Lonchura striata: one gene and its partner. The protein of the gene in region 1 binds, or shares a complex with, the protein of each later gene. Links are inferred from orthologs where the notes say so. Each region holds a gene or a part of one and is shown on either strand. Other genes may lie near its edges. The genes, in order: CKB and ASB9.

Region 1 (12,080 bases):
GCTTCAGTCACTCAGCAACAGCCACAACACTCAGAACACCTATTTCAGCCACATAACCCCCTCCCTATAGAAAAAACGGCCACCAACAAGGGGCTTTTAAGGCCTTCATCTTGCTCCTAGCAGTGAGAGAGGCTAAGACTAAAAGCTATGCTTCTTATGTCACTATTTGTTGGGAAGCTGGATTGAATACATGTCAAGCTAGCACATCTCTTATGATCAGGAAAGGGGCTGGTAAAGCTCAAGCTCATATCAAGACTAGAAGTACAGAACTTGAGTCCAGCTTTGCCCATGCACATTCAAGCAATTTCTCCTCCTCCCTAAGGTGTCTGAAGAATTTCTTTAAAATACAGTTGAGACATTTGGATAAGGGTGCCACCACATCAAGCAAATATTCTAGATTACACAGCCACAAGGCTTTTTGCCAAAACACCTGTTCTGAAGCCCTCACAGCCCTGCATCTCACCAGGGTGTTCCCAGAGATCCAGACTATGAAACACAACAATGGAGGAAAACTGCATTCTCAGATCTAACCAGAGAACCATGTGCCATTTGAACCTACAGCCCAGACAACAGCAATTTACCTTTGTTAGTCCAGTACAGAAGCGGTTAAATACTTCCTTCATGTTGCCACCTTTCTGCATGGAAATAACTCTAAGGTGATCCTCCTCATTGATCCACACAAGGAAAGTCTTGTTATCATTGTGCCTAGGAGACAAAGCAATCAGTTTGCTGTCTTGCCCACCTCACACTTTGAAGATGGCCCCAAATTGCTCATCACTGCAGTTTTTAGTTCAAGATGCTCACTTAGCTGCTTCAACAAGATTGATCTTATTTCTTTTGCCCACACAGGATGTGGGTTAACCTGGTAGTTGTTACCCTGCTCTTTTCAAGAGGTAATTTCAATTGGCTTTTACAGAACGAGTAATAACAAGGCATTGCCTAATCTTACAGTATCAAAACCTAAAACCCCCACATCCTCTCATCCTCCTAGCTCACTTGTGTCTCCACTTTAAAAACTAAGGTATTTCTGCTCAGCAATTTGCAGAAAGGTGATCAGTAGACTTTGAGAATGTCCTGTACAATAATGTACATGACACCATGTGTAACAAGCCTGTTTAGCAGTATTGTGTCAGATTATGTCAAACTGCACTTCGTACCTTACTTTCAGTATGAATTTCACTTGGATCAGGGCTCTTCAAAGATGCTATATAAAAATCTTCTGAACAATGGGATCCTCCTGCCCCAGCTTGCAGCTGACAGCAGGTACTATCATCCATGTTTATCTTGCTAGTAATTTCTGAACTCGATTAGGATCAAAAATTAGCTAGTACCCGAGGAAAGTTATTTATGCAGACAACACTAAGACATTACACACTTCAAGTCTGTAGATTAGTCATGCTCAGATGACAGCGCTATCTGGTGCTGGCAATCTGCAGGTAGATGATGCAATCTTAAAGGTGACCTACAGAAACAAAGTGTGCTTCCACTGGGTTGTACTGAAACAGCTGCAGTAATAAGATTGGAGCATTCCTGTTGATAAAAACCTAGCCCTTCGCTTACAAGGGAGCAAGTTAATTATGCTGCAGAAGCTCCTGAGATGCAGTTTTATGTAGGTGACCTACATTTAAAACCAGCAGGATCCTTCTATTCCACACCTCTGCATCAGTCAATTCCTGTCACCAAGTCTCTGAGGACAGGGAAGATCTCATCACTAGCACAGATAAAGCCATACTAGTTCAGCCCCTTTGAGTTTCTGTAAGCAGAAGTGAAGAGACAAGGGAATAACTGTGCACCCAAGATCAACCCTGAGCTAAGACAATGCTATGGTTTGTACCTCAAGTTACTCTCAACTCTTGGTGGAAGAGCTGACTGTAGTGGCACATCTGCTCCTTTACAAGTGATCTACTTCCATAAGCTGATCCAGTTTTTGCATGGTGGTTCACTAACCCATGCAGGCTCCGGTTCTGGGCTAACACCAAGCTGGCTTGTTTTTACCAGCATAAGAGCACTTGTCAAAATTTTGCTGGTTAACTGCAAGTTCTCCATGGAAGTTTCTCATCAAATACAGTAACACAAGGTGAGAAGCTACTGTTTTGCCCAACAGTACAAGTCACCACTGAAACAGCAAGATTTTAACTTCTATGACTGCCTCCTCACAGACATACTCACCAGATACCCCTGGCATCAGGCCAGTCTCGTGCCATCCCAGATGCCAACAGAAGAGGAGAAACTGGCTTGTCAAACAAGAAGTGGTCATCAATCAGCTGCTGCTGCTCTGCATCAGTCATGTTCCTCAGAGCATAGTACTTCCCCTTGAGATCACCGTCCAGACTACCCAAAGCTGAAAGAGAGAGATTCTTTTAGAATGGAGCTAAAGGTTCTACACTTTCCCAGCACTTTGGAGACCACACATCAAGTATGGCAATGTTTGATCTGCTGGGTCTGGTTCCTCCCTTGCTTTCATCTGCAATAGCAATGCCCTTGTGGCAGAACCTGAGGCAGTATCAGATGATTTGTCTGCACCTTCCAGGCTCGTACAACTAGCCTTTGTTCCCTTACATGCAGTATAGAATCATTACTGTTGCTGAACTGTACAAATGGAGACTGCTTTTCTTCCAAGGAGAACCAAGGTTATGAATGTAACAAGCAGTATTATTCTTGTCAAGGACTGTTACCCTGCCCTTGAGAGGTTTTGAGCACCAGGAGGCAACAGGGAAAAAAAACAGCTGAAGAGCTTCACTGAAAACCAGGGCTTACTCTAGTCAGCTGCAGATTTGGAACAAGACTACAATCTCTTAAGCAAGCTGAAAGTTAATGAAAGTCAATTAAATGCAGCCACAAAACACTGCACCCCATGACTCAAGCCCTGTAGTTGCTACATACCTGTTACATTTCAGGTTTGAGCCCTGATGAACCAACTTGTCTCCCCACACACACAGACAGAAGCTTTTGAGATCAGCAGAGGTCAACCTTAATGCAATCCAACTTCCCTCTGCCATGTGCACTTGCTCTCAGCTACAAGCTGCAATGCTGAGGCAGCTCTAATGCAATGAGCCTTTTCCAGGGAAAAGGCTCCATGTTCAGACTGTCTCCAGGGAGGTGGCTTTTGCCAAGTGCTTCCATTTTCAAACTGCAAAGAACACCTCTTGTGCAAAGGACAGAATGATGTCCCTGAGGCACCCAGTTCTCACTTTACCTTCAACAGAGAGCTTCTCGATAGCCCGCCTCTCTCCTCGACTGCAGTGCGGGGGAAGACAGAATCCACGGATGCTTCTGCCAGTTCTGACACGGGAACTTAGCACATAATTGGGATCCAGATCATCACCTCCCTACAAGATTAGGAAACCAGCAAGCACAACCCTGTTACCAAGATAGCTCCCCTAAACACGTGTAGCCCCCATGCACTTAAGAGTGCACTTTACACATGAGGCATTGACTCCATGGCCTGTAAGCAGTGCCTCACTTCAGGGCTACTTTCTTCAGCATCACATCATGCATCTGTGTAACACAACTCTTGCTCTGAGGTCAAGGCTATAGCTACTAAGTAGTCCTAGAAGGCAGGGATATCACCAGAGCATCAGTTCCAAGTCCACTTCAGACTGTGGTCTGGGCTTCTGTAACCCCTTACAGATTCGCAACCTAGCAATATCAACATGAGGCAAAACCTTCTTTAAGTACATGTTTACTCTTGCAAATGAGAATTATTCATTACTGTTCTCCCAAGTCTCTTATTTTCAGTATGATTTATGGCTAGCGAATCATGGAGTTAGGAATTCCCAGAGTTTAGTTTACAGTAACATTTAAAATCCATAAAATGATTAAGAATCCTTACTTCCAGCTGTAATAATATTTCGTTGACAGCACAACACCATCAGCTGCTAATTAAGATCCAAGATCAGACAAAAGAAAGCTTAAGTTTTATGACAGTCCGTGAATTCCACGACAGTGTTGTTAAGGTTGACTGCTAGAACCCACAACTCAGGAAATACACACTGAAGGTGTTTGGCACAACCCACGCTTCAGCAGCACCTGTAAAAAGCTCCTGCTGCATGCAAGCTGCCCAGCCACTGACATCCCACAGCAACAAGCTCTTCAGGCTGATTGCACCAGACTCACAGCCCAAGTGTCCATGCTCGGTGGAAGCAAGGGGACAGAGCCTGAGCAATCAGTTTAGGCAGCTGCCAACAACTTTACAGTCCTCAGACTAATAATCTGTAATTGATCAAAACTTTATACCTGCAGGTTATCAGCATTCAGGTCAGTCTTGTGCTGATCACTTGGTTTGTAGCCACCATGCCTGTCTTCAATAACTGGATCAAAGAGCTCCTTGAACACTTCATAGGATTCTTCATCACCAGCCACGCATCCTACTGTCATTATGAAAGGATGGCCTGGAGTGGTAATAAAGTCAGAAGAGCTAAGTTTGGGTGACATTTGGCTGTACTCCAGTGCAGCACTAACCAGGCAAGTTGTTTAGTGGCAAGTCTAGTCACTTAGAACTCCATTCTCACATAGAAACATTTGGAGAGACCCTACATTTTACACTTCATCCAGTTAGTCAAATGCAATGCTATGGCAACCCATAGCTATTGTCATTAAACCATGCTCATTTGTCAAGCTTGGTTTAGGACAAATTTGCACAGCACATCTAATTTGACTAGCTAATTTAGATCACTGCATAGAATTTTATGTCTAAACAATCATGCTTTGCTGCAAGCAAGCATGCTTTGCTTTTCGCTCCTTCTGCTACATTTCTGTAGTCTGTTTATAAATACCACCTCCACAAGATTAGCTTTAAGTCAGCATATTAAAAGCACCAGTTACTTCAGCTGGTTCACACGGAATATTCTCAATGCATTTTACCAGGATTATCAACCCCAGTCTGAATGACATCATCCAGGGTGAAGCCACTGGGCGTGACTCTGTCTCTCAGTTTCTTGTATAAATCCAGGGTTAGAACTTTGGCCATGTGGTTGTTGTGGGTGCTCAGGTCCGGATACTCCTCATCAGGAGGCAGTCTCTGATTATTTAGTTGGGCCATTTTGATATTGCTAGAGTAAAAATAAATACTGTAATGTTAACATGTAAACACATCTGCTCCCCCTTTTTCATAGAAGTGCTACAAAACATCATATAACCAGTCTGGAATAGGAAGAGATCAAGACAGCCAGGTAAACTGACTTTTTTTTTCCCCCCCCTCGCCAGATGAGTTATAATTAGAATGCATTTGGTTTGACTTTTTTTTCCCCTCTTCAGATTGAAAGTATTTAGCAGAGCAGTTACATAATTGAAGTGTCTGGGACTTGGTATGTCAGATCACAGCATGAAACACAGCTTGATGGAAACATGGCCTCCCAACAGAGCCATGCCTTTAGAGCAGTCTCTCAGTGCTTTAGATTTGTCCCTCGGTAGCTTGAGAACTTTGGGTAGCATTGTCAAGAAGCACTTCCAGTCAGGAGGGAGAACAGATCATTATGCAGACCTAACGATCCCATTACCTGGGTTGTCAACCCCAGTCTGGATGCAATCATCCAGGGTAAATCCACTGGGAGTCTGTTTATCCCTCAATTTCTTGTACAGGTCCGGGGTCAGCACCTTAGCCATGTGATTGTTGTGAGCTTTCAGGTCAGGGTACTCCTCCTCTGGCTTGTACTTCATCTTCAGGAGGTTGTGGCTGTTTGAGAAGGGCATGGCTGACCCTACCGCAGTCACTAGGGGAGAAAGACGGGAAGCCTATCACTGGGCGTTTGGCAGCCTCCGGACCGCCCGGGGGAACGCCAGGCACCCAAAAGGTCACCTTGGCTCACGTTCCACCCGCGCCTTTCACACCTTTGCTGCTACATCGCCTTCCACAAGCGCCAAGGAAGAGGAAAAGAAAATAAGTTCTTCGCCTCCACTAGCCGTGCCCCGTGCCCACCACCCCGGCCGCAGGGGCAGAGGTCCCGCCGCCTCCCGGGGCGCCGCCCGGGTGAGGGGACGCGCCCAAGGTCAGCGGAGCAGCCGCAGCAGCGCCGGGCGGACCCGCGCGGCTCCGGTGCCGGGGAGCGGCCGCGAGCCGGGGGTGCTCGGCCCCGCCGGGACCCCGGGCCGGCCGGCCGGCGAGCTGGGCGGCACCGCCGCACCCTCGGTGCGCGGCCGCGCCTCCCCTCGCCGCTGCAGGGCGAGGGCAGCCGGAGGAGCGACGGCGCCCTCCGCGTCCGCGACACCCGGCTGCTCCCCGACCGGGGAGGGAGGGCAGCATCCGACAAGCCCTTACACAACAGGCAGGTCCCTCAGGGGACTTGGACGGGGCGAGCGTATGTAACTACCCTGCTAAATACCGGGTTAATCTGGTTTTAGAGCCCAGCCAGCCCGGCGAGCACCTGCGCCGCTCCCCACGCCCCCCGCCCCGGCTGCGCCCCTGCCCCGCGCCGCCCCTCCTCAGCCGGACCGGCTCCACCCCACACAGCGGGAGAGGGAAAAAAAGCAAAGGAAAAAAAAAAAAAATTAAAGCCTTTGTTTCAAGGCTGCAGAACGTCTCGGCTGCCCCGGGACTTACCGCGGGCTTCGCAGCTACAGCAAGAACCTCCGCGCTGCTCCGCGTAACGCACTGCCCGAGTCCGAGTGAAGCTGCAACGGCCCCGCCGCGCATCTTTTATATAGAGCCCAAGCTCGCGCCCCATTGGCCGTTATTTATAGCCCATTCATTCCATTGGGCCGCGCAGCGGCGGGCGGGGCGGGCGTTGCGCCGCCGGCCGGGCCCGCGCTCGCCGCCATTTTGCTCGGCGTCGGGGAGCTCGGTCGGGGGTGGCGGGGTCCTCGGCCGCTGCCGCGGCGCTGGGGCGGCGCCGGCGCCGTTCGTTACCGCGAGCGTGAGGGCAGGGATCCGTCCGGTGTGCCACCGGCCAGGGCGCGCCACCGCACACCAGCGTGGCTGGTTACAGGCTTCACACCTTTGCCAACACCTTGGCCGAGGGTTCAAACGCAGGTCTCTTAATACACCATCCCAAAAGAAGCGCTGTGTAGTGTGCGGGCTGGCCGTGCTGCGAGCCTGGCCAGTGGCAAGTGCCCCGAGCTGGCAGAAGCCCTGAGGCGGCTGCGAATGTGGCGCCCAGCCCCCGGCAGCCCGGTTCTGCAGAGGGAGGACCTGCACCTCGCCTCCAGCACCTGCGAAACCGTGGGCTCGTTTTACAGTTCAATTTGAAAGGGAAGTAGGGTGATTGCGAAAATCGCAGTGAATCCTCTGCTCTTGTGTGCAAAAAAAAAAATTCTTCAGCTTTTATTGGAGAGGGGGTGATTTCCTACTAAAGACAGGCACAGGAACTCTGGGATCTGACCCATCTAAAGCTCACCTGAAATTCATGAAAATAGAGACTTGCACTGGTCTTTTTGTAGGAATGAGCAGGTTTGTCCCAGAGCTAAGACGCAGCTCAGAATCCTGCTGTTTGCAGAAATTACAGTATATTAACAATGTGAATGAGTATCTTGATTTGACTTTCACCTTTACATAATAGTATCTTTATCTTTCTCTGACGTGTTTCTCACAGCAGAATCCATGTTTATCCTCCTGTCCAAACAGAGTGTAGTTATACATGAGAGTGCGGATCTGAGTTCCAGAGTTGCTTTCATTGGCATGAGCTGTGAATGTCAGGAGACATCACCTGAACCGCTCTCCCCATCACAATCCTTTCAGCACCATGACCAGTACCCTCACCTTAACAACAAACAGCATGTGCACTTTACAGAACTGCTTAGGACTTAAAAATCATAATATACATATAGAGGAAATCATTGCAAAATAAAAAGCCTAGACTGCTTCAAATAAAAATGTGCTGTGTTTGGCTGCCATCCAGATTTCCGAGTTATTCCAGGTCTGGTAGACTGAGATGCTGAGTATACAGATCTCCAGGAGAAGCCAAGGGCTCAGCATCTGTGCAAGTCCGGTCTCTTGGCTTCCGGATCAAAGAACAAATCCTCTCTCTTGGTCTCCTCTGCACTTTTAACCTCACAAAGTCCTCCCCTACACACTAATAGTTTCACACAGTGCTCATGCTTCAGAATAATGTGAATTGCAAATAATGCATGGCTATACAAGTATTAAATGATTACAAGTGTAAAATTGTACCTAGAGTCCTCAATAAATTACAATAGAAATGAAATATTACTGGATTGCCTCAGCTGCAAATATAATTCTGATTGCAGATTTTTTTAATGTAAAGCACTAACATTTTTATTCTTAATTTGAAATAGAAATATACTAAAACAACCTTCTTACATTATGGCATATTTTTGTGGTGGTGTTCTCCACAAAAAAAAAAAAAAAAAAAAGGCAATCAGTGTAGATTCTGAAGGCTCCTTTTATCTTAGTCCATAATCTATTGCCACACAAACAAAGAAGCAATCAACTGTTCTGTAGTGTAATTGTTCAGGAGAGTTGTGGAGTCAAGGTCACCTCAAGATTCAAAATCCAAGGATCTGTTTCATCGCATATGCTCTTCTTCTTTTTGTCTTGCAGAACAGGGAATACCAGTCATGGTGAGCAGGTAGAAGTCTCAATGTGCCAAACATTACAGCACTTCCAACACAAACACACACCTCTTCTTCACAGAATTTGGGTGACATGGAAAGAGAGTCAGGAACATAAAATCACTAAAATATATCCAATTTAGATGTCTGACAAACAATGCACCCTCTACCCCCCTCTTCTCAACACTATTTGACAAATTTCTAGCGTGCAGTAAGTCAGGAGTGGCTGGGTTTTACTCAGACAGCATTTTAAGATTTGCTGAAAGCTGTGTGTAAATTGGATCCTATCTTTGTCACAGCATTCCATGCCAGCTTCCCTAGTGACTTAATTGCAGATGCTGTGCCCTGTGTCAACAGCCTCTGATCACCCGCTTTATCTGCCTCATCTGCTGGGAAACACTGGCTTTGGATAAGCCTGTATGGCCTGTTAGACTGTGATAAAGGCACCAATACTCACTGTCTATGCTGGGATGGTATCTTAGTGAATACTGATTTATATGCTACATTTCCAGTTGGAAAGGTGGCCTGATTACTCCAGAGGTCTTTGCACTGAACTTTAACAATGAAGAATTAAAGGAAGTTAATCAAGGGCCATGCAGCTAACTTCCTAAGAGGCTTAATTATAAATGTTGTGTGGTGTGCAAGTGCAAGAGGAGATGGGTGTTAGCTAGTGAATGTGTCTTCTGAAATTACTTGCGTGAACATAATAGAGACCTGAAGAATTAGGGGATAAATACCATCTTGGAAACACAGAATAATATTCCAAATTAGGAAACAGCAAGAGAAAGTGGTTTGCTGTGAACAACTGAATTGTTTCCAATTCCTAATCTACAACTAAACACCACTTGAAAATTAAACATAACACTCATGTACCAGTAGATTAAAGAAATTGGCCATAGCTCCATCTGCTTAACTTGTCAAATGAAACTTCTCTTCCCATTTATCACTTAAAATGTATTTGCTTATTTATTATCCTTGGTGCATTTTTTCTCACTGTTTAGGCAGGCTGTTGTAAATTACTGATTGTTTCCAGTGAGCTGAGTACCTATGGAAATGAGGAGTTGCTGAGTGTCTCAATCTTGCACACAGTCAGGCCCACAGTGATCTGAACAGCAGCCCATCATGGGAAAGAAAGGACATGAGAACATAAACAATGACAAATATAACCAATGACACTAAAAATGACAGAAAATTAAACAAAGTGGGTGCAAATATAAAGGCACAGTAGAGCCATGATTGCCAGTCAGAAAAACAGCTGAGTAGGAGTTTGCAGCTTAAGAAACCTCTGAAACTGCATACATTATGTTTAGATTAGATGGAGAAGAGTTTCATAACTAACAAAGACTACTGCAATTATGTTATGGGCAGGTCAACACCATAACAAAAAATATGTTCTCACTGAAGGTAGTGGGAAAATATCCCTTATTCTTGGTGGAACCAGATTAATTTAAAAAATCACAGATCATCATCTAAACAGCTCTCCGTTACTGGGTTTGTGATTGTGAAACGATGACTTTTTCTCCATTATTGTGTATTACAGGTTACTGGTGAATGCAGCACAGTACAGAGGATTATCTGATTTAGCTGGGAACACAACCTGCACGTCCAAGGTGATTCACATGCTGCCTGCTATGCCCATACCGCTCCCATGCCAGGTGGCCTGGGCTTGTTGTGAGCAGAAGATGAGGCAATATTCTCCTCCTTTGCTCCACCTTGCCTCCTGACTACAGCCCCCGTACCACCAGGGCAGGCAGGGCTCTCCACATCACTTCAATCCTAAACATGAGACAGAAGTAGGAGTTAGTACCATGCTGTTAGGGGGTTAGATAACAATTCTGCTGCTTCTGAGCCCACAGTGTGGTTTCTCCTGCAGCCTTATGAAATCCCTGTGAAGAGCTTGCTTGGCCTTTCCCTGAGGCTGCCCCGGGGGAAGGGCATGCAGAACTTTCTGGAAGCTGTGTGCCTGGGGGCCACGGAGGCAAGGCCCAGCTCTGCCAATGGCAAAGTCATTCCCTGGGGAAGGGGTTTCAGCCCTGCTGGCGGTGGCCCTCGAGACACCCTACACGTTCAAAGGGTGATGAACGCCAAGTTCCCACCGGGGCTGTCAGCACCCATTGCAGCTTTTCCCTTCAAGTTTCACTGACAGGGCTGCTGCCCGAGGCAGGAGCACCCGCCGGGGTGCCGGGGGGCTGCTGAGGGTGGTCAGTGACCGCCCCCGCTGCCCAGGACCCAGCAAGGAGCGCTGAGAGGACGGGGCGGGGGCGGTCAGCAGAGCTCTGCGGGGACAGGCGCCTCGAAGGGCTGAGGGGACGGGTGTGCTCAGCGGGATGGATGCTTCGATGGGACTGGGGGCATGACGGGCTCAGAGGAACGGGCGCCTTGATGGAGCTGTGGGCATGGCGGCACCTCAGGAGGGCTGCAGCAGCCAGGTCTGATCGCGCCGGGCACAAGCCGCGGCGGCTCCCCGGCCCCAGGCAGGGCCGGCGGGGGCGGAGGCGGCGGGAGCGTCAGCAGCCTGCGACCGAGGCGGAAGGAGGCGCTGGGCGGCTCCGCGTGTGAGGAGAGCCGGGCCGGGCTTGGGGAGGTAAAGGGCTCGGGGCACGGGGAGAAGCGTCCCCGCGGGGACGCGGGGCGCTGGGGCGAGGGCGTTCTTCTCCCGCGGAGCGGCCGCCCGGGGCTGTTACGGGCTAACGCCGCTCTCCCGCAGGCGAATGCCGCCTCTCACCCCTTCCCGGTCCAGTCCGTGCTTCTCACCTGCCGCAGTTGAGGTTCCCGGGTGCGCTGGCACGGGCCGATGCGCTGCTGGGGTGCAGGAGCCGCATTGCCGCCTCGGGATACGGAAGGGGCTGAGGGGAGCCCTGGCAGCGGGGTCACCTCCGAGCGGGGCACGGAGCGACCCGCAGCCTGCGTGTGCCGGGGCGGGGACGGGGCTGTGCCTGCCTCGCCTGCGGGACGTTCCTCTGCCGCCGCGCCAAGCAGCCAGGCTTCGGGAGGGGGAAGCGGCAGCCTGCCACGTCCTGTGGGAGCTGGTCAGGGAACGGAGATGTGCGCCTGGGTTATGACTGAAGGAGCACAGAATCGTGTTAGTGGTTTTATTCGTGAGGCTGCGAGGCATCGCCTGGGACGCTGGGTTTAGGTCGCTGCAGCCATGGCAAACCCAGAGAAAAGTCCTGACCCCGTGTCAGGGGGCCCCGGCTCAGTATCCCCCCACCGCCATTGCCCCCACACCGTGCAGTGACAGCGGTGCTGCGGCAATGCCCTGCCTGCTGCCCGGGGAAAATGTCACTGCGGGAGCCTCTGCACGGCCAGGCCATGGGCAATTCTGGACGTGGAGGTAGCTCGCTGTGCTCCTTGACACGGGGGCAAGGCAAAGAAACTTCCAAAATTCCTTACAGATGCCAATTTTACCCCAAACGTAGAATATAATGTGGCAGGTGAAGTCTGAGCCTCAGAGATGTGTCACTTGGGATGTCAGCATGCAATGATATGGATGGACTTGCTGTACATGATCTTAAAGATCCCTTCCAGCCTTGATTCTGATTCTCTGCTGTGACTATTAGCTGTGATAAGTGTAA
Region 2 (12,080 bases), on another chromosome or scaffold:
AGTACACCATTCTTTATTTTTGTTTTTACCTGACTCCAGCAGCTTCCTGGCACAGTTCACTTGCTGGTTCTCACATGCTACATAAAGTGGAGTACCCAGGTGCTTGATGTTGTGATCTATATTTACCCCACGGGATGCAAGGAGTTCGACACATTGCACATGACCTTAAAAGGGATAAAGGAAGAGTCAACTCACAGAGATCAGGCCCTTTTTTTTCAGCAAATTCTCTGTTACAGCAGTGTAGTTTGGCAAAGATTCAATGTTTTGTCAAGAGGTGGTAATGTAATGACTTTAATCCACTCCAATGGATCCAGCCAGCAAACCAGGAGCTGAAAAGCCACATTCAGCAAAACAGGCTCACAGGCTAAAACCCTCACATTTCATCTGACTCATTTCAGATGTCTACTGAAGATGAGATTAATCACTCCATGTTTCTCTCCACTCCTTTTGAAGACAGCCAGATGTCTCCCTCAAATGTCCACATTGTATGCAGCTGACTTGGACAATGCATTCCCTTCCAGGTGGCACGACGTGAACTCAGAGGATCTGACAGCTGAGCTGACCTGCCCCTGAGGAGCAACAGGCTGGGAAGAACGGCACCCCTCATGATGAGACCAATTAGCAAGGCATTTTACATGACCCAAACCAAGAAAATTATCTTCTTTATCTCTATCCACCACTTCAACACGCTGCTAGCAGCATGGACAGGAGAGCTGATGCCTGTGGGTTACCTCTCTTAGCAGCTTCGTGGATGGGGGATGCCAGGTCACAGGGTGAGTGTAGGCTGGCTCCATGCTCCAGCAATAAATTCAAGCAAGCCACACTGCCACTGACACAAGTGTTGAACAGTGGTGTGTGCCAGTCCACAGTCACTCCATCCACCTGGGAGAAAATAACACAATCTGGCAAAACCTTTGTCTTCTTGATATGTCAGAATTGATGGCAACTACCAGTTTCTCAGCAGGAAATAGGGGTTTCAATATTTTTTATTTAATTCTATGCCAAAACTCCCCAGTGCTTCCAAAGACTACAAGTTTTCATTAAAATGATAATTTAAAAAGTATTTTTTAAAATTTCCCCCAAGTCTCTCCTACTGCAAAAAAAGAAAAAAACCAAAAAACCATCAGGGCCACTCTAGGGTCTCTCAGGAGTTACCAAGCTAAATGTATGACCATTTCTCAGTTATTTTAGCTGAAACACACCTACCCATAGCCTTCTCCTGAAACAGTCCATTTTTGGTTGAAAGTGTGCAACCCTTCATTATTATTTTTTTTTAATTTTAAACTGAAAGGTAATATCTGTAAGGTAATGGATGTATGAATGAATGTCCTTATTCACTACAATTTTGATATTAGCTTGAAAAGTAGTGGCCATGAGACACGATTTCACCATTTTACTTGCATCTTGTTTCCATTTTCTTCCCATTTTTTGTCAGTTGGTTGTCACAATCCTATGATTCTACTTTAGATTGCATATTGATACCAATAAGATTAATGCATGCATAAAATAAAACACACCCTTAACTGCTGCAGGATTATAAACACTTTGCAAGATTAACTTCCCCTTGTTCTTGTTACAGATGAGAACATTTCATCCTCATCTAAAGAACAATAATAACTGTTGCTTATATCTGTACTTTTTTTTTTTTTATTAGGAAGTGCATTTCATAACTACCTTAAGCAGAGCTATGTACAGAGTGCAAACCACAGAGATACTCTGCCATGACACCAGGTAGCATTACAGTGTGGTAGTACAGCATACTAACACTAGAGACAGAGGTCTGTCCATCACCTACTCACCTGAGCACCATGTTTTAACAGGACACTGGCACAGGCAGCATGACCCCCTAGGCAGGCTTCATGGAGAGGAGACACCTGGTCTGCTGTAACAAGATTGACATCATTCCCCTGATAAGATAATGGAAAATATCATTACAAACAACTACTAAAACCCCCATACCAAAATCCACAATAAAAAAAAAAACCTGCTTTAAAAGCTTTATGTAACTAGACCTTCCTCAACTGCCTGGAGCTATTCATCTCAGAAGTAAGCAGATGAAGGGGATGAAGAGGTGGTAATGATTTGGGTGGAGTGGATACTGGCACAGGATACCCGAGGCCATGCCTTGTACACACTGAAAACCAGCACAGAAAGCTTAGTGGACTGTCCAGTGGGACAATATATTGTGGCTGTTTGACTAGCTGGAACCCTGAAATGCTCTTGAAGTATTTTCTGCTCTTTGCCTCAAGGCAACCACTGAAGGAAAGAAAGGCATCAGAAACATTGGTTGGATTCTCCAGGTTCTTTTGTTTCTATCAATCTTGGTGCTCAAGAAGACTAAGCTGGAAGAGTCTCCAATGCCCCTTCCCTTTCCATTATCTCCTTCACAGGTTAAACCCAGGGATTTTGAAGAAACAAAGTGGTGAAGTTCAGAAGTCATTTCTACCTATCCCTGACCTTCTGGAGGAACTAGGATATGCTCAGGCACTTCAGAAACAAGTGTCTGGGTGACTGCATTGAAGCTCAACCAGACCCATGACTGGGTCCAGAGCTGGCCTTCAGCTGGGGCACCAAAAACTCCTCACTGGCATGCACAGGAGCTGCAGAGGAGCTGCCCTTGGCCATCCATAGATCCCACTGATCCCATTTCCTCTGCCACAGTTAACATATCACCCTGGATAGTTTAGTACATCTTCAGATTAGTGCACAAAGCTTGTACTGGGCAAGGAACTGATTGTAGCGAAGAAAAGCCCGTTGCATGCAGATTTTGCTGTGGCCTGGTTAACAGGATTTTCTCACCCTGAAGTTTCACAGTGAAGCACAGACTGCATTCATCCACTGAACAAACCCTGCAGACACCACATGAACCCAGCTGAGAGGTACCTGTTCAATGAGCTTCTTCAGGGAAAGCAGACGCCCATGGATAGAGGCCTCATGTAGAGGAGACCAGTCTGAAACAAAATCTGTATAAAAACAAAGACAGGAAAAAGGCTAAAACTTCTATTTCACTAGCATATTTTACTTCAACTGTGTGACCTCCCTTCTACTTTATTTGAGCTGCCAAGATTTCTTTGGAGCAGATGGTGTGAGGGAGACAGACAAGAAGATGGTTTCCCTCTGGGTGCATTTTTAACTCATCCCATGTTTGCACTGCACAGCTGTGCTCCCCTTCAGAAGACAGGAGGGATTTGCAGAACATCACCTGGCTCTGGCTGAGCTTATCCCTCTCTCCGAATTATTTCCAGGGCCCTTTATTTTTTTACATGAACTTATTACATTTTACCAATTATCTCAAAAGGAATATGTTTGAAGAGAGTTTGGCTGATCAGTCATTTACCCCGGCTCAGAGCTGGACTAGAGTCAACAACACTTGGCAAGAGAAGGGACCAAAGTACAAGGAGGCAAAATATACTACCTGTTGATTCTGTCTTTCTGTTTTCAGTGTTTGTTATGAGTGGTGCATTTTAAGTAATAGCTGTGCTGTCTGCATTGTTGAAACTACAAAGTGAGGTACAGCACATACATAATGTGCAAATATTAATAGAGAGAGATCTTCAGTATTACAGATTTTATGGCTCAGAGTCAACTGACAGCAATAATCCCTCTGGGAGATATTTATGTCCCAGCACTCAAAACCCAGTGTCTGCTCTATGTCAATGTGCTAGGTTCCCCCTGGGAAGGAAGGGAAGCCTTTACAGAGGGCATTTCACACAGCTTCCTGTTAAAAGACATTTTGATGTTCTCTGGAGATGTCCCACTCTCCTCCACTAACTACAGAGAATACTCCAGTGACCAAGTTGCTGGCTGAGTTGCTGAGGTTCTCAGGAACTATAAGAAAGCACATGCATGGAATGGAATCCTTAACAGCAGGAAGTCTGCCTTCAGCAAAAAACCCTAATAAGCCTATAATTCTTTGAAAGAATGTTTACACATAAGCTGATGATCATAACGGTTTTAAATAAAAAGAAGGTATATTTAGGCCAGACATTAAAATGTGGTGGTGGAATAATGGAACAGGTTGCCTAGAGAGGTAGTAGATGTCCCTTTTGTGGGAAGATTCAGGTCAAGGTGGGTGGGACTCTGAGAAACCTGGTCTAGTGGAAGGTGTTCCTGCTCATTGCAGGGGTGTTGGACTAGACAACCTTTAAAGGTCTCTTCCAATCTACACCTGGCTATGAGTCTATGAATTAGCTTTTAAAGAAATCTGTATTCTTTGTTATTAGCATTATTTGAGCTCTGCCTGCCTCCTATGCTCCATGGGCTGCTTCCCACAATAGTTACACAGTTTCATTAGGTTCCCAAATATCTTCAGCTTTAGCAAACAGACAGGCAATTCTGGAAGCTGTGGTTCTAGTTCATGAGGATGGCAAACCTGGACAACAATTATTAAACCACAGACTGATTAACTGACTAAAACATCTTTGCTCTAAGTGATGTGTGTTAAATTGATGCTTATCTGACTGTGCTGTTGCTCTTGTTGGTCCTGCCTGTGTTACAGTCACTTGTGTTTCCAGGGTTTTTACATTTAGAAACTAATGCCATTGCCTAAATTGCATGAGTTGTAAGGGAAGTATGTTTATAGATATTCTAAAAATCTAGATTTAAGTACCAAGTTTTTTGAGCTGCAACTTGAACTTTTTTTGGCTACACAAATATTGGCAGGCACTTGTGCCTGTACCAACCTGTGCATTATACCAAAGTATTATATCATCATGTCATGATGATATAAGAGGGACATATCCATGTGTGGATTTTATCCATTCAGTCCTTGCTTAAGAAAAGACAGGTTTCCACTGAAACTCTAAAAAGAGCCAGACCAGCCATCTGTAGACTGGACATTGGCTTGCAAGTTTCCAAGTTTTAACAATGAATTAAAAGATTGACCATATAGGCATTAAAAATAAATGTCAGTAAAAAATAAAAGAGATATGTGCTGACACGTAATCTATCTGGGAGTTCCGTAACTGAGAGAAACCTAGAGTTTTATCCTAGGTGGAAGTGGAGCCCTATGGAGCCCTAGGGAGTCTGTCACACCAGCCTTGGACACCTTGGGAGGAGCAGGATTAAAGGCCTGACTGATGACTAATTGGGATGACATAATTCCAGATCTGCTGCCATGAACTGCACAGCCTCAGGCTGATGTTTCTCCTGCCCTACCTCCATCTGCAGCAAGCACTTCTAACCTGAAGCAGTGCCAGGAAGGCATTGGAATGGAGGCCCTTGGAAAAGATGGCAAATTTCTTCAGTTTCTTAACCCCAGGCATCACCTTCTCACAAATAACCATATTTCTTTTTTCTGCCTGCTCCAGGCTGGAACTCAAGGTCCTTGCCTGGAAGAGGAGAAAGGCTGCAGTAATTTCCATGTCTCACTGCCCTCTTTTACACTTCACAGGAGGCACACTATCAGAATATAAAAGATGTGTATTGTATTTGATTAAGGCCTAAGCAAATGTCAATTCTAGTTGATTATGGGCTTTCAAAATCCCGAACTAGTGATTTTCATGAATGTGCCCAGAGCACTCTGCATATGGACTAGCAAGGCCAGTGTGTGTGGGGGATGCAGTGGTTCATTGTATGTACCACCACCAAAACAAGGATTCCTGATTGTCAAAAATAGTACAGCTGCTCTTTCACAAAGAAACAAGATAATTTGTCCAAATTTGAAATTTACCCACACCTTAGTCCACAGGGAGTCTGAGTCAGACCCCAGTAGTTTAGCTAGACATCTAAATCCCACTGGCTTTCAGTGGCTTTGGGTCACCTCCCCTTCCACTGCAGAAAACTCCAGCCAGCCCAGAGGTTACATTAAACCCCTGGTCATATTTGAGCACTGCCATCACTCAGGCATGTGACACTGGCAGGGTGGTGTATACAGAGGGAGTCTTATAGCAATAACCATGTACACATGCAAAATCTGACTGCTCCCTGTGCACAACAGAGCTCTCACAGGACCTTTCTAGAGCACTGGTTTTTGTTGTGATGGCTGAAGCAACTTTTTGCAGCCTCTGACCATGTGAGGGCATTGCACATGGTGCCTGTGCCTGTCCCCAGGCTGGTTTCTTCCCATGCCTCTCACATACAGCACAACTTGAAAGGGGCTCTTAAGTCCTCCTAGTGAAGGTGTGCTCTTGCATTCATATTTTCAGATACAAAATCCTATGGCATTATATAGAACAGTATTACAAATTGTATTTTCCATACTCAAAGGCTGTCCCTTAAAGTTTGTGATCTACATAGCTTGAGCTAAACACATTCCTGCTGGAAATTGCGAGCAGAGCTTATTGACTCTGCTAAGGAACAGGCAGACACAAAAGGAATGGACTAAACTTTGATTTTCAAAGGACCAAATGATCTGTGTGCAGCATTGTGCCATGTGGGATTCCGTCCTTCCACCCTCCATTTTGCTGGAGCTCATCTCCAGTGTGGACTGGTTCTATTTCACACAGTTAATGGTATCACTGTGCCTTCCTGCTCAGCCCAGCCTCAGGCTGTACATACATGGCACACACGGGGGCAGGCAGACTACACTGCAGATAGACTGGTCAGCCCTGCATTTTGGCTTTATGGTCTTAATTTTCAACTTAGTGTTAATGGAAGCATCCTGAACAGCCCAGAAAAAGAGCAAGGATAGCATAGTCACATTTTCTGAATTTACCTCATTCCATCTGCACTCGCCATTAGAGGAAGGAGTAACTTAACAGAAACAGAGCTACAGCGAACACATCCAGCTCAGGATACAAAGTTTAATTACTTGTCTTTTTTTTACCATGTCATATTTTCAATGGCTCTGGGCCAGACACAGAGCAATGACCAGAGTGAGGCCATTTGTCTGAGTAACTGCTCACTATTATGTGCCCACAACAGCACTGGTCACAGCAATGCCACTGAAGAAGAGCCCAGTAGGCTCAGCCTAAACAACACTTAGGTCTGTTCATCTGAAAGACAAGGGGAAAGGATAAAAGATAAAGAAAAAAAGGATAAAGAAGAAGAAAGATAAAAATGAAAAAAAAAAATTAAAATAATTAAAAGGAAGGAGAAAAAGAAGGAAAGTAAGGAGGAAGGGAATGAAAAAAGAAAGAAAAAAAGAAAGAAAAAAGAAAGAAAAATAAAAAGAAAAAATAAAAGAAAGAAAAAGAAAAAAAAAAGAAAAAAGAAAAAGAAAAAGAAAAAGAAAAAGAAAAAGAAAAAGAAAAAGAAAAAGAAAAAGAAAAAGAAAAAGAAAAAGAAAAAGAAAAAGAAAGAAAAAGAAGGAATTGAGCTACTGCTGAGCTTCCTGCTGGCACTAATTTAAGTCAAACACGCCACATTTCAACTTATTTCTCAGTGTGCTGCAGTCCAAGTGCTGCTACATTTATTTCTGCTTGCACAAACTGCAGTACAAAACCAACCACTCTCTTCTATGACACGAAAAAGAAACAACCAAAATTTCAGTATCAAACAGAAATAGCTTTTTTTTCCACGAAGTCGTGGGGGTGTTTTGTGGGACCGGGTGAGGAGCTGTCCTGAAGCAGGACCCGGGGAGCAGCAGCACCGCAGCCCCCGCTGCCCTCCGGCAGGGCTGAGGCTTGTGCCGGGCAGGAGCGTCACTCACCCCTCATCAGCGGGCTCCACGGAGTCGCTGCAGATGCCCGGCCTCCAGCTCCTTGCAGTTTGCTGGCATTTTGATTCGTTCTCTCATCATCCATCTCAGCCCTGCCTGCCCAGCCGCTGTCTTTTCACTCTGTGGCTGGTTTCCAGAGTTCAAATTCCATGTTCCCCGGCGAGCCCGCAGCGGCCGGAGCGCTCTCCGGAGCGGACCCCGCACGCATGAGCCGAGCAGCGCCGGCGGCAGCTCGGAGCGCGCAGAGCCGAGCGCCGGGGCTGCGATTTGACAAAGCTGCTCCCGGGCTGCCCTGCTCGGCAGCCAGAGACCCAGCCAAGCCAGAGATGTGCCTGATGTCACATCCTCTCCAACGAGACGCCCAATCGGGGCGCCCGCCGCTCTTTTTTATCAGGAAGGAAATTCTTAGTTTGCCAAAAAAAAACAAGACAGAAAGAGCCAGTTCGACTAGTTGAACAAACTCTGCCTTCAGGGGATGCGCAGAGAGAGCCGGCAGAGCTAGGGCAGGCAGAGAATAGGGCAGGGAGAGAACAGGGCAGGGAGAGCCGGCAGAGCCAGGGCAGGCAGAGAATAGGGCAGGGAGAGAACAGGGCAGGGAGAGCCGGGACAGGGAGAGCCGGGACAGGCAGAGAACAGGACAGGGAGAGAACAGGACAGGCAGAGCCGGGGCAGGCAGAGCCGGGACAGGCAGAGAACAGGACAGGCAGAGAACAGGACAGGGAGAGAACAGGACAGGCAGAGCCGGGACAGGGAGAGAACAGGACAGGCAGAGCCGGGACAGGCAGAGCCAGGACAGGCAGAGAACAGGACAGGCAGAGCCAGGACAGGCAGAGAACAGGACAGGCAGAGCCGGGACAGGCAGAGCCGGGACAGGCAGAGAACAGGACAGGCAGAGCCAGGACAGGCAGAGAACAGGACAGGCAGAGCCGGGACAGGCAGAGCCGGGACAGGCAGAGAACAGGACAGGCAGAGAACAGGACAGGGAGAGAACAGGACAGGGAGAGCTGGGACAGGCAGAGAACAGGACAGGCAGAGCCGGGACAGGCAGAGAACAGGACAGGCAGAGAACTGGACAGGCAGAGAACAGGGCAGGGAGAGCTGGGACAGGCAGAGAACAGGACAGGCAGAGAACTGGACAGGCAGAGAACAGGGCAGGGAGAGCTGGGACAGGCAGAGAACAGGACAGGCAGAGCCGGGACAGGCAGAGCCAGGACAGGCAGAGAACAGGACAGGCAGAGAACAGGACAGGCAGAGAACAGGGCAGGCAGAGTGTCTGTTTTGCAAAAGTTCTGTTCTCACAGGTCATCTCTATTTAAAATATTTTCCTTCCCAGTACAGTATAATTTACAAGCACAAAATCCTTTTTCTGTCACTGAATATTTGCGCATTTGTGTTCAAGTGGAAGTAGGCTTCTACTTATGTTCAAGTAGAATTTCCATGCAAATTCTAAACCATGTAATGTTTTTCTTTTTTTTCTTTTTTTTTTTTTTTTGTCCTGTATGGCTACTAGAGCAAAATTTGTGTTTGTGTATTTGAGGATTTGAAGTTGCTTATAGTATTTTGATTCTGATCCTAACTTAGCTGAGCCTAAGAAACTTGGTTTTAATTTTATTTCTTTCTGTAATGTATGCAAGAAATCTGGAATAATATTTAGGGTTTCTTTGTCCATATCTTTAAAAATAATAATTTATATTAAAAGATGCAAACAGCAGCTGAACATCATCCACACACTTTGCCAACAGGGAATCTGTGACAGCAGCCTGGGCACAGATGAGGACAGGGCCAGCCCTTTCCATGGCACTTCTTGCTGAATGCAGCATGGCCTCCCATGCTGGATACAAGCTTTGATCTCCCTGAAAATTACATTTGTGTCTTAGCCAAACTGGTGTGGGAAAAATGTGTAAACAGAGAACGTGGTGTATGTAGGTATTGTTTCTGAGGATTAACATGTAAAAAGAATGAAAAAAACCCATTTTTTTCTCTTTAGTGTTACTTGATTTTAGAGGTTAGGTTGCCCCTTTTCATGATTGATCATATTGCTGGCAGATCTAGTATTAACAACCATTTCAACAATTCCACCACCAAAAGGAATCCGTGTATGAAACCAAATGTGCAAGCTCAGAGCTGTGTTATCTTCTCTGATGACCAAGAAGGTAAATGCAGTAATGACCAGTGAGACCTGGTGCCTCAGGAAGTTTGCAGATTTGAATGAATTTGAATGGTGCAGTTGATATTCCTTAAGGACAGGATGCAACCGCTGGGGACCTGGACAAGCTTGAGGAGTGGGCCCATGAGCACCTCCTGAGGTTCAACAAATCCAAGTGCAAGGTGCTGCACCTGAGTCAGGGTGATCCCAGACATGAGCACAGAAGACAAGGGAGGAGAAGTCACTGAGGGCAGCCCTGCAGAGAAGGACCTGGGGGTTCCTGTGGATGAAAAGCTGGACATGAGCCCACAGTGTGCGCTTGCAGCCCAGGAGGCCCAAGGCACCCTGGGCTGCATCCAAAGCAGCCCAGCCAGCAGGTCCAGGGAAGGGGATTCTCCCCCTCTACTTTGCCCTCATGAGACCCTACCAGGAGTCCTGCATCCTACTGTGGGGTCCAGCACCATAAAAACATGGATTTGTTAGAGCAGGTGCAAAGGAGGAGCACAAAGATGCTCAGAGAGCTGAAGCACCTCTCCCATGAAGACAGGCTGAGAGAGCTGGACTTGATCAGCCTGGAGAAGAGGAGGCTTTAGAGAGGCCTTGCTGTAGTCTTCCAGTACCTTAGGGTGCTTATAAAAAGGAGGGAGAGAGACTTCTTACATGAGCAGATCATTCCAGACCAAATGTCAATGGATTTAGATTGAAAATTTAGATTTATATTAGATGCTAGGAAGAAATTCTTTGCTCACAGACTTGTGAGGTGCTGGAAATGTTGCCCTGGGAGGCTGTGAATGCCTCATCCCTGGAAGCATTCAAGGCCAGATTAGATGGTACTCTGAGCAACCTGATCTAGAGTGGCAGCCCTGCTCATGGCAGGGGCCTGGGACTAGATGAACTTTAAGGTCCCTTCCAGCCCAATCCAGTCTGTTGTGACAGCTGTGCTCCTCTGAGCTACATTTCAGATGCCCTTATGCTGACATGCAGCCAGATTACAGCAGAGAGTAACTAGAAAACACACAGATCCTGAGTTTGACAGACATAAATTATCTCCTGAGCTCTTGCTTCAGCTAGCAATTCAGGCATACCTACAGAGGCAGTGTGTGGCTTTGGCCTGGTGATCACCTTAATATTATTTAACCATCTATAGCCACTCTACTTCTTAAGCATCATTTTGATGTGAATGGAATCATCAAACTAAATTAAACTCCCCAAATAACACATCCCAAAACCAGGGGATTCCTATAGGTTGTTCTCAGCCTTGCTGAGAGCTGGAATATGCAAGAAGGCTTTGATTAATTTAATCTCTTTTGTTGCTGATCTTTTATGTAAGCAAGCAAAAAATTCTCCAGTAAAAAGGGAACATTTTAACATCAACCTGGATCTCAAGATAAACAACACAGAACTTCAAATACAGATTAGAAACAGCTTACACAACACAGAGACACACCAGAGCTTTTAAGCATTACAATATTATTTTCCATTTAAGTAGCAAATACATCCCTAAGTTCTACATAAACAGGCCTAGTACAGAAATTACTTTATCCTTATTCAAGTGCAGCCATCCTTGGTGCATAGAAGTGCACAATAAAGTGGAATCAACAACAGTTAATATTACTTTTTTCTATTTACATCATGTCTTATAAAAGGAATATTTTCTTTTTCCTCCTTCAAAAAAAAATCTACATTTTTTGTAATTCAATGGACTGTTCTACTGTCTTGGTTCTTTTTTATTTCCAGTTGTTAATCAATTTTTTAACTTGTCCAGATAACTTTTATACCAATTTTATTACTATTAGCACAAATATTGCTTCAAAAACGAAAATACACTACTGGTAAATCTGTCTTGGTATGAAAATTGACCCTTGGTTTCTGAGGATGCAAATCACAGAATTACAGGAAATGTTTGGAAAATTGGACACAAAACATAATTTAACTTCAATTAACTTAAATTTAGTCCAACTGAAGTTCAATTTAACTTCAGAATCAGGGTGAGAAATCCTAGCTTTTCCTTAGCATTAATGAAGAAACATAGGCACTTTCAAACCATGCTTTGTCTCACCTACTTTAGATGCTTGCTCTGGGGGAGCACATATTGAATATTAGAGTCAGTCTTCACCAACTGTAAAAGGGATCCCTAAACCATGAGCAGAGAATTAGGTGGAATTAGATGTGTATGTGTAAACAGCTGAAACCCGCTTTGAAATATGGGTGAACTGACAGCCAGGGGTCCCAGCTCTGACACCCCTGAGTGCTGCCATGTGCCTTGTCCTGCACAGCCTCTGGGTGCTGCAGCTCAGGGTGAAGCATCTTCAGCCCAGACAAAAGCCAGCATTG

The links.
Region 2: the proteins of CKB (region 1) and ASB9 are in contact, whole or in part, in a cryo-EM structure (PDB 6V9H), measured with the Homo sapiens proteins. The link is inferred for Lonchura striata from reciprocal best matches to the Homo sapiens genes CKB and ASB9. Residues at the interface, in NP_001814.2 of Homo sapiens: Asn63, Pro64, Gly65, His66, Pro67, Tyr68, Ile69, Thr71, Arg130, Arg132, His191, Val198, Ser199, Pro200, Leu201, Leu202, Leu226, Trp228, Glu232, Ile238, Met240, Asn286, Arg292, Gly303, Lys304, His305, Glu306, Lys319, Arg320, Gly321; in NP_001026909.1 of Homo sapiens: Leu25, Asn27, Pro28, Leu29, Met30, Gly31, Asp32, Ala33, Val34, Ser35, Asp36, Trp37, Pro39, Glu42, Ile45, His46, Trp60, Ala67, Asp68, His69, Glu75, Ala100, Asp101, Trp102, Val111, Asp133, Leu134, Ser165, His166.

Annotation. Positions count from the first base shown.
Region 1 is NC_134608.1:10,101,044-10,113,123, reverse strand, and holds the start of CKB (creatine kinase B-type), read right to left. Parts: upstream 6,656-12,080; 5' UTR 6,539-6,655; intron 5,712-6,538; 5' UTR 5,692-5,711; coding exon 5,499-5,691; intron 5,052-5,498; exon of another isoform or gene 5,042-5,051; coding exon of another isoform or gene 4,864-5,041; intron 4,392-4,863; coding exon 4,237-4,391; intron 3,330-4,236; coding exon 3,197-3,329; intron 2,342-3,196; coding exon 2,170-2,341; intron 706-2,169; coding exon 582-705; intron 1-581. UniProt on the Homo sapiens protein: Reversibly catalyzes the transfer of phosphate between ATP and various phosphogens (e.g. creatine phosphate).
Region 2 is NC_134604.1:100,005,311-100,017,390, forward strand, and holds the start of ASB9 (ankyrin repeat and SOCS box protein 9), read right to left. Parts: upstream 7,921-12,080; 5' UTR 7,686-7,920; coding exon 7,592-7,685; intron 2,964-7,591; coding exon 2,884-2,963; intron 1,908-2,883; coding exon 1,800-1,907; intron 883-1,799; coding exon 732-882; intron 165-731; coding exon 30-164; intron 1-29. UniProt on the Homo sapiens protein: Substrate-recognition component of a cullin-5-RING E3 ubiquitin-protein ligase complex (ECS complex, also named CRL5 complex), which mediates the ubiquitination and subsequent proteasomal degradation of target proteins.